Drosophila melanogaster: one gene and its partner. Changing the gene in region 1 together with any one later gene gives a genetic interaction. Each region holds a gene or a part of one and is shown in the gene's direction. Other genes may lie near its edges.

What was found.
Region 2: of Snx16 (region 1) and nwk, changing one suppresses a phenotype caused by changing the other (phenotypic suppression), as found in Drosophila melanogaster (one study listed by BioGRID).

What each region holds. Positions count from the first base shown.
Region 1 is NT_033778.4:17,724,494-17,728,954, reverse strand, and holds Snx16 (sorting nexin 16), read left to right. Parts: upstream 1-2,107; 5' UTR 2,108-2,230; coding exon 2,231-3,256; intron 3,257-3,316; coding exon 3,317-3,453; intron 3,454-3,512; coding exon 3,513-3,573; 3' UTR 3,574-3,925; downstream 3,926-4,461. Other genes in the region: CG4975 (uncharacterized protein), read right to left, coding at 646-809, 871-1,951, 2,006-2,017; Dlish (dachs ligand with SH3s), read right to left, coding at 4,102-4,461.
Region 2 is NT_037436.4:9,135,835-9,140,907, forward strand, and holds the start of nwk (nervous wreck), read left to right. Parts: upstream 1-2,025; 5' UTR 2,026-2,055; exon of another isoform or gene 2,056-2,130; intron 2,131-2,747; 5' UTR 2,748-2,842; coding exon 2,843-2,863; intron 2,864-2,938; coding exon 2,939-3,168; intron 3,169-3,258; coding exon 3,259-3,786; intron 3,787-4,071; coding exon 4,072-4,954; intron 4,955-5,016; coding exon 5,017-5,073. Other genes in the region: Use1 (unconventional SNARE in the ER 1), read right to left, coding at 24-67, 467-823, 918-1,269. UniProt on the Drosophila melanogaster protein: Adapter protein that provides a link between vesicular membrane traffic and the actin assembly machinery. Acts together with Cdc42 to stimulate actin nucleation mediated by WASp and the ARP2/3 complex.

The sequences.
Region 1 (4,461 bases):
TAGCCACCAGTGGTTGTCGCTCGCCAGCCTTTTCCTTCGCCTTTCTTTTTCGGGGAGCGCGACGAGCCAACAAAAAGAAAAACAATGGCAGCCATTGTTAGCCAGCATAAACATAAAATCGTTCTGCATACATATGTACGCCACTTGGGAGCGGATTCGGACGTGGGATTTGGGCAGGGCGGAGCTGCCACCTGCAGCAAACCGACGAAGGAATTACTCGAGCAGACGTCATCGTTGCTTAATTACGCCATAAACATGAACTCAACTCCGCCGATGAATCCGCCGCTGCTGCGGCAGTGTGCGCACAAATTTAGAATTTAGATGGATTTAGGCATCTCTTTTTTAATGGTACACAGAGCATGGTACATGGGCAGCTATTTTTATATCTTCGCTAGCCACGCCAGCCGACCGCCACAATTCCGCCCCGTTTTACCATTAAACGTTGACATCGCTTTTATGAATGCCTTTGGCTATCTGTTGGCATGCCATTAGCGCATCGTAAAGCCCGAAAAGGGGGGCAACGACTGCGAGGAGCATGACGTGGTGTGAATAACATCTAACCACTTGTTGGCCAGCCAGTGGTCATGGCTCGTTTGCCAATTTCTCATGGGTAGACGTATGCTGTATGCTAGGTCATCGAAACTATTACTGCCTGTCAGAGATGCGTAGCGCTCCCATGTCCAGGTTGAGTTCGGTGAGGATGTCGTTGGGCGCGGAGCCCTGCATAGTCAGGCCAGCGATCACCTGTTGCGCCTCCGGACAGTTGATGCAGGCGTTTCGGATGGCCAAGATGCTCCACTCCCGCATCACTGAGGGATAAAAAGTAAAATGTTAAGCTATGCTTTAGCTTGTTTCAAATATGTTTCTTACATGGGTTTCGAGCATCCATCGTTGTGCATTCAAGAAGCGTGGGCAGCAGCTGTGTGTCCAGGCAGTATCCCTTGTTGGCCTTGTTGTCATACAGAAGATTGGCGGAGCAGCGTACGAGTAACGTTTTGAGTTCATAGGACACCTTTTTTTCGTAGCCCGCATCAATGTCCGAAGTGAGTGCCACCTCTTCCAGCTTCGTCATGGGCTTATCAAGGCCGCCTCCATCCGGTTCCTTGCCAGCAGACACAATGCATCTCAGCAGGCTGCTCACGTTGATGAACAGCGATTGGTCGTTGGGATATACATTAGCATACTTCTCTGAGCCGCTTGCACTTGCGATGATGCGCAGTAAGGTGTGAACTTCACGTGGATGAAGCTCATGCTTAAGCTTTATCGTTTCACGCAGGAGGCAATCGGATTTCATGCGGAATTCTTTAGCAAAGTGCTGCAGTAAAAACAGCGTAACATCACCATTGGGACTGTTTTCCCTCAGATAGTGGGCCACGTAGTCGAGGAAAGCAACACGATCTTCAGTCTCCAGCTTTTGGTAACAAGCTACGCAGGCTCGTCCATTCTGGACAATGAAGTGCTCCAGGAAGAAGTGTAGATACTCGAAGTTATAGGTGCACTGGGCTTCGTTTAGAGCTCGCCACAGTTGCAGACAAGTTTTAAGTGCCACCAAGTCGGTGATAAGACCATGACCACTGATATATATGTTGTACATGATCATGAGGAGCACATTATTCGAACTTCCCAAGGGAGAAGCGTAAGCTTGTTCGGCGATCTTCAAGCCATGCTGACTCCAGATAAGTGCTTGGGTGGTCTCATTGTTAACCACACTATTGGCTAGCACCTGCAGAGATAGATTGTGTATAAGCCGATGCTCCGTGCGCATCACTGGACTGAAAGCCACAGCATTTAAAAAGCTGGAAAACTCCGCACTTTCAGCCAAAGTCTCTTGGTTTTCCCTGCCTTTTGTGAGCAAAAGTCGTAGGTTCTTGAGTAATGCCGAGATTTCCTCCTCATTTTCGGTTATGCTCAGGCGCACGAGCTTGTGTACCAGCTCTTTAGTTTCGCTTTTCTGGGGTAAATCATTTATTTAAATAAATCTCGCGAGAATAACAATAATATTTACCACATGCTCCATTTTCGATAGACCCACAGCTGTTTGCCGCCAAGTGTAATCGATTGGCCAGTGCAGCGCTAGCCAACACTGTCTCAATTGGGTCAACGGAGTGTGGCCACACTGCGCTCCACAAAAGAAAACAAAAGAAAAGGGAGAAAAGCAATTTCGTTTTGGGAAATTTTCTAAGTCATGTAGCAAACGAAACGCTACAGCGAAATCAAGATAAACAAAGCAATGTCACTGCGTGCGCTTCGGAAAAGAGAAACAGGCACTGGCTACGGCAACAATAACAACCATTTAGCAGCACCAGCAAGAACTTCACAAGCAACGCTCTTTAAGAAGGCCAGCACAGCAATAACGTCACCGAAGAAATCGTTGCTCAAAACTGGGAACTCCGTCTGCGGATTGGACAAACGGAGTCAGTTCCGGGAGCAGAAGCTACTCGGTCGCAAGTGCCACTCGAGTCCTGACCTACGACAAATCGGAAAATACCAAAACAACAGCCTGTTGCGCAGCAAATCGGAGGGGGATGTTAGTTTAATCCTGGCCAGTAACTCCGGTGCTCCATTGACGGTGGCAAACGCCAAGTCAGAGGTTTGCCTGCAAAGGATTAGCTCTCACAGTTACGAACAATCTCCGAGAACGCCGATAAACAAAAGCGAAATGCTCGGCGGTGCACGTTCCCATCGCGACCTGACGCAGTCGTCCTATGGCAACCAGGCAGGTGGACATTCCGTGGATTTGGAATCCAGGTCTAGAACTCCTCGGCGGATGAGCGAGTGCAGCTTGGGCTACAGCCAATCCAGCTCCCGGCACACTGGCTCCAACTCTATGTTCGCCAGCCAGATGACTCTCTCCTCGGGATCGGTGGTGCCGCCCGTGGACCCCAACGCTGTGCTAAGGGTGCCCATTATTGGTTACGAGGTTATGGAGGAACGTGCGCGTTTCACTGCCTACAAGCTGCGAGTCGAGAATCCGGAGACCAACGACTATTGGCTTGTTATGCGACGCTACACCGACTTCGTGCGGCTCAATAGCAAGCTAAAGCAGGCTTTTCCCAACCTTACGCTCATGCTGCCCCGGAAGAAGCTTTTCGGCGATAACTTCAATGCCGTCTTTCTCGACAATCGGGTGCAAGGTCTGCAGATCTTCGTCAACTCAGTGATGGCCAAGGAGGAGCTGCGAAAGTGCAAACTGGTTCGGGAGTTCTTCTGCCTGGACGAGCCGCCTTCGTACTCTGAATCCATGGAGGAGTGTCGTGTAGGATGATTTCTTTTTCATGTATTTATCAAATCTATATAAGATTTCATTTACTTCTAGGCAATTTTCGAAGCTCAGGAGGAGACAATTGAGCATCTGAAGCTGCAGATTCGAAATAAAAACGATCTCATTCTCAGTTTGCAGCAGAAACTGCGCGAGGAGATGAACGAGAAGGAGCAGCTGAGAGAAGCTATGAAGTAGGATAACAATTTCTTTTACAAATGCAAAAATCTCATTAGCCAATCTCTCTCTACAGAAATATGGAGCTTAATTGCTCGCACTGCTCCTCAGCTAGCGACAGTTTGGGAATAAAGTAGACCTTCGCCAATCGGAGGTGATAACCAAAATCCAGTTGGACGTGCGTGTGCGTACAACATTATGCTGAGCATAACTCTACGCAACTGCGCCGCTTGGATGCAAATCCAATACAATAATACAAACCAAGTGCATATCGAGGGGTTGGCCCCTACAGTGCTTTAGTATTCATATCTAGACCTAGATGCTAGCAAAGTGCTGCCCACGCTGGTACTATATGGAATACGATAGTAGATATTTTTGATATTCGTTTACGAGGCACTTACAGTTAAGAATGAAATCACTAGACTAAGTGTATACGATATGTTATGCAAACTCACATACAAAATAAATCTAAGGCACAATTTATTACTCAATGAAAATGGCATTTATGAGTTGAAAATTAATTTAGTGTTCAAGATAAAAATATCCAAGCCACAAAGAAACGCTTTTCGAAATGCAATTCGACTGTGTTTGGAAGACTTACGAATATTACGCTTTAGTGTTAGTCGAAGTGATAATTAAAACGATTATGGTATTGAATCTATTTCTTAAAGGCTGGTCATCGCGGGTGGTCGGGCATAGGCTTTCGGGATGAATCCATATTTGCGGGTTTTCGGAGCATAAGCCCAAAGCCAGCCATCAACAGTCTGATTGGTTAAGTCTGCGTAAATCCAATCTCCTCTCCGCACAGAAAGGTACAGATCGTCTGGAGCTTGCGCTTTGTAATCATACAGCATCACCAGCTCCGTGCCATGGTAGCGTAGATCATCTGTTCCCAAGCCCAATTGAGGCTGCTGCTGTTGCTGGCTCTGCTGACCTTGTTGACCCTGCTGCAAAATGGTCTCCATGGCATTTAAAGTGGCTTTCTGTTGCTGCAAAACTCGTACACTGTCTGCAGGATAAATAAA
Region 2 (5,073 bases), on another chromosome or scaffold:
TTTGCTTAGTTTGGAAATTGTTTCTACGACTTCTTCTTCTTCATAATCTTCATGAATAAAACCATACCTGTAAATTGAAAGGGTAATAAACTCATTAGTATAATTAAGCAGCAACAATCGAACTGCAATAAATCGAACCAATTAAGAAATGTAATTTCAAACTGAGTCACGGCAAACTTGTTTATTTGGCTTAAGTGAAGTGACTCGCAGTGTTTTCGTATTCAGTTTAAATACAATAATAATAGCAATGGAATCTAATATCTATTTATCTGTTTTCGTTCTTATAATGAATATTTATAATATTGTGATTAACATATTCAGGAAACTTGGTTTATAAACGTGTTTAAATGTGTGTTGTTGAGTTGGATAACTTAAGGTATATTTGTTAAGTAAATGAATTGGGATTTTCCAAGAGGGGTTCTTTTTTGCAGCTTGAACAAAACTTCCACAAAATACAATGACTCACCTATAAAAGTGGCAATTACGAAGGCAATCATCAGCCACAGCCAGCACTTGTAGGCTTTTTTCGAATGTTGCTCCAGTTTCTCAGCCTCTTTTCCTAGCGAATTGATATTGCGATCCGCCATTCCGGCGGAACGCGACACAACCTCCGTGTCTCTTCGGATAATCCTGTTGGCGGTCTCCGTCTGTTCCTTTAAGTTCCGAGTCAGCGAGAGCATGTGCTCGGTGATCTTCTCCTGGGCATTCGTATAATACTTGGCAGCCTGGTTCATGTTTTCACCAGAAGTTTCCTGAACGTTTGCGCTTCCAGAACTGGAGGAGGATTCATCTGCTCCTCGACGTCTTCGCAGGGCATCGGAATCTAAAATAAATGTTTTTTAAGTTATGAACTATTACATTTTTGAATTTAAGAAATTTTAAAATATGTACAAAACTGTTTGTTAATTCTTTATTACCCTGGAGCAGTTCCTTTCGCAGTTCGTTGTGATATTTGCTGTTTTGCAGCTGCCTTATTTCTTTCAGTGCATTTTCCCCAGTTTCGCTGACGGCTGAGGATTGTGAAGGAGTCTTTGTTGTGGAACCGGGAACGTCTGCATATCCGGTGGATATTTTAAGGGCCTGTAGGCGCTCCAAGTAGCCCGGGATACGTTTGACACTCTGCGGATCGCCCATCGCCTCCAGCTCGGCAAGCATTGTGTCCAGGGACTTAATGAACTTCTGCAGCCTCCAGAAGTTCTGTTCGCTTTTGGCCAGTTCCTCGCAGTTGGCCAGCAGGGTGCGAATATTTACATTTAGCTTCGTGGCCATTTTCAAGTTGAAAACATGAAAACAACAAAGTACAAATTCCTAAATTAAAATACCAGGTCGAAACCTATTTGTTGTCAGCAGCTGGTCCTATTAGCGATAGAAACTTATCGATAGGTTGTCGTGAGTAGTGATGAAAAATTATTGAGGATGTGTATGTAAAATGTAAGAATGTAAAAATGTATAAAGTAAAAAAAACATAACAAACAAATAATCTTCTAATCCTGTTAAAATTTAATTTTTAAAAATTTTTGAAAAAAAACATCAAGTTCCCAATATGCCATATTTATAAGCTTATGTCTACTTTCTCAAGATAACGTAATGCATTTATATTATTGCATGCATACTTCTGGGCGCGACTCGAAAATCTTATCAAACCTCTTGGCCAATATCTGAAGTTATCAATTAAACCGTTTTTGATAGCCACAGCATATGAGTAGTTTCACGCAAACGCACATTTTTGTTTTAGCTGTTGTCGTACGCCAGGTGTCAAGATCAAATGGCATACCATTCAAAGGTTGAATTTTTATAGTAGTTTTTTTTTCTTCATTTTCCTTAAGTGCCGTTACACGCAAGTGAGGTGTTATCAAACAGCTGACGGGGCAAAAACAATAAAACTCACCCTCTTTGTTAACGGTACTAGAGGCCATGAATGAAACACGACTTCGTTCTCTCTCGACTTTCTCTCACCGCTCTCTTTGGCGGTCTCTTCTTGCGCAGCAGCACCAGCAGTTAACGGTGCATGTTGAAAAGTTCTCACACAAACGTCGTGAAAATCGAAATCGATAAGTAAGCAACGGATTTTAGCTGCCCAGAAAAAGACCACAAATTTCAGTGAAAACCCAGCGATAAGAATCCCAAAAAGTACTAATCCAGCTGAAAAACAACCATCTTAACCGGCCATGTCCAAAAAAAGTGTTAGCCAAGTGTTTTGAATAACGTAGTTGGTGTAAATGCTTAAAAAAAATAAGCTAGTCCGGGGCCAGAGAAATCGATACGATACCCCCAAAAAAAGGGGGGCTGCTGCGTGGGCTGCCCGAGTGAAAATTTCCAGCTAAAAATAGTACTAGATTTGAGCTTGAAGAAAACCCTTGATTTCCTTTGCGTTTCGATGTCAGTTATCATTGCATTTCAGTTACATAAGTTTTGAGACCCGTTGCTGCGTAGCGAACCTATTAACGGCTTAAGGACCACACAACCACCCACATGTACCACCAACACCACCCATTTACACAGCCAAAAATAATCGGAAAATATATATATATAATAAATATCAGTAGGGCTACATTTTATCTAATCTTTAATTTGATAATGTTAGATTCTTTGATATAAGTCATGGCGTTAAAAATAAATCTCCCCTTTTAAGCCACTGAAATATAAATTTTTTTATATTAAAAAAATAAGATGGGATCTTAAATATCGTATCGTATTTTAATACCCGTATATCATATCCTCTCATAAAGCAATCATACTATTTACAGTTGCTAGAGGTAATGTAACACCATTAAGTCGGAGCTAAAATAGAAAAAAAAAGCCAATTGTAGAGTGACCCGATTGTCGTAGAAAAAGCCCCATGATGCAGCCGCCGCCGCGTAAGGTAAATCATAAATAAATCGAATTGATAAAGATAGTTCCACAATAATCATTCATCGTATACCTCGTAATCCTGCAGGGAAACTATGTGAAATTCCTCAAGAATTTGCACACGGAGCAGGTGGCCAAGCTGCAGCTGAAGAATCAGCATGAATGCGACCTCCTGGAGGACATCCGGCAGTTCACCATCAAGCGTTCCGCTGTCGAGAAGTCATACAGTGAGTCGCTGCTGAAGATCTCATCGCAGTATCTCAACAAGAAGATACCCAATATACCAGATATTAAGATGGAGGGCATGGAGGAACGCTGGTGGGTATTGCTTTCCAGCTAACTAGTAACGTTCTTTCGAGAACCTTCAGTCAATTTGAATTACCCACCTACTTATACGTAATCTCATAGGAACATGTGGAGCGTTTGGCGCACTGTGCTCGAGGAGAATGAGAAACTGGCTCGTGCTCGATTGGCCGCCATAGAGGTGTTTCAACAGCAAATCGCGGATGAGGCCAAGGTTCTGCGGGACTATAAGTTGGCCATAGCTAAGCGTTCGCTAGCCGGAATTGTCAATGTGCAGAAGGAACTCCATCTGAGCGTGGGCGATGTGGATAAGACCAAGAAATCATACTTTGACGAAGAGCATTGTGCTCACGATGTTCGGGACAAGGCCCGCGATATCGAGGAGAAGCTTAAGAAGAAGAAGGGCTCCTTCTTTCAATCAATCACTTCGCTGCAGAAGAACAGCGCCCGGGTCACATCTCGCAAGGAGCTGCTGGAGGAGAAGTCATCTGGCGCCCGGAATGACTACGTACTCAGCTTGGCGGCGGCCAATGCGCATCAGAATCGCTACTTCACCGTCGATCTGCAGACAACGATGACCACCATGGAGAACTATGTTTTCGAGCGGGTTGCCGAGTACCTGATGTTAATGGGGTAAGTGTATAATGGCATTGCTCATAAATTATAAACCATCCAGAAGTGCAAAATCGGTAAATCAATTATAAATTTTACAAGTTCAAAGCCATTTTCTAATCAATGTTTGCTCAAGTCGTCAATTACATTCTGATAATTTTTATGGCGCTACCTGATATGGCTCATAAAGTTATTAAATCATTTTATTTAATCTTATGACTCAATATGTACATATGTACATAACAGTGCTGTCTTAAGAAATCTTTATCTTAATGTTGCCTAACCATTAAAACACATCTTTTCCAGACGCACAGAGCTGTTGACTTGCTCGGCTACGCAGAATAGCTTCGGAAAGATCCGTGACCAGGCGCAGCAGTTGACGCGGGAGTACAACCTGCAGTGCTGCTACCTATTCTATCCGGTGCTGAAGCAGCACATCCAATATGACTTCGAGGCGTGCGACAATGATCCGGTGCGCAAGGTGACCGCGGAGCATGAGTCCGCCGCCGAGACGCTAACCAAGGAGGCCAAGAATCTGGCCGGAAGAGTGGTCAAGGAGAATGCCTCGATCAGGGAGAATGCCAAGAAGTTGGCCTTGTGCCAGTCGCTGCGAGACTCTGGCCAGCGCACGGATCCCAACGATCCAAATGGACCGGATCTGGACACCAAGATCGAGGAGTTCCGTGATCAAATCCGTCGATCCGAGACGGAAAAGACAAAAGCGGAGGCATGTCTGCAGTGCCTGCGCGATGGCGGCATTAACGTGGACGAGTGGGTGCAGGAGGCCGAGAATATGGGTGTACAGGAGCTGACGCGTTCGGCCAGTTCCATTTCGATGCGCACCGACGCCTCTGGCCAGGGCGAGAATCCCAGTTCCGATTCATTCTACGACAGCGACAAGGAGGAGACTCAGGCAGCTGCCCAAACGAAGCCCAAGCAGGAGCAACAGCTATCCAGGGATCGTACCTTCAGCGATAGTGAGGATGAGCCCGAAGTGCGTCCATCGGCAGCGGCAGCTTCTTCTGCAGCTGCTGCCTCGTCATCCATGATGGCCAGTAGCGCTGGTGGCTGGGATGATCCCACTGAGGTCAACTGGGGAGCTGGCGAGGAGGAGGACGACAAGGACGAACCGATTGTTCCAGAACCCAAGGAGGCGATCTTCAAGTGCACTGCACTCTACAGCTATACGGTATGTGAGCTTTAAAGAACTATATACTTTTTCTTGCCACTAATTTTTCACTTTTTCCACAGGCCCAGAATCCCGACGAGCTCACCATCGTCGAAAATGAACAGCTCGAGGTGGTTGGC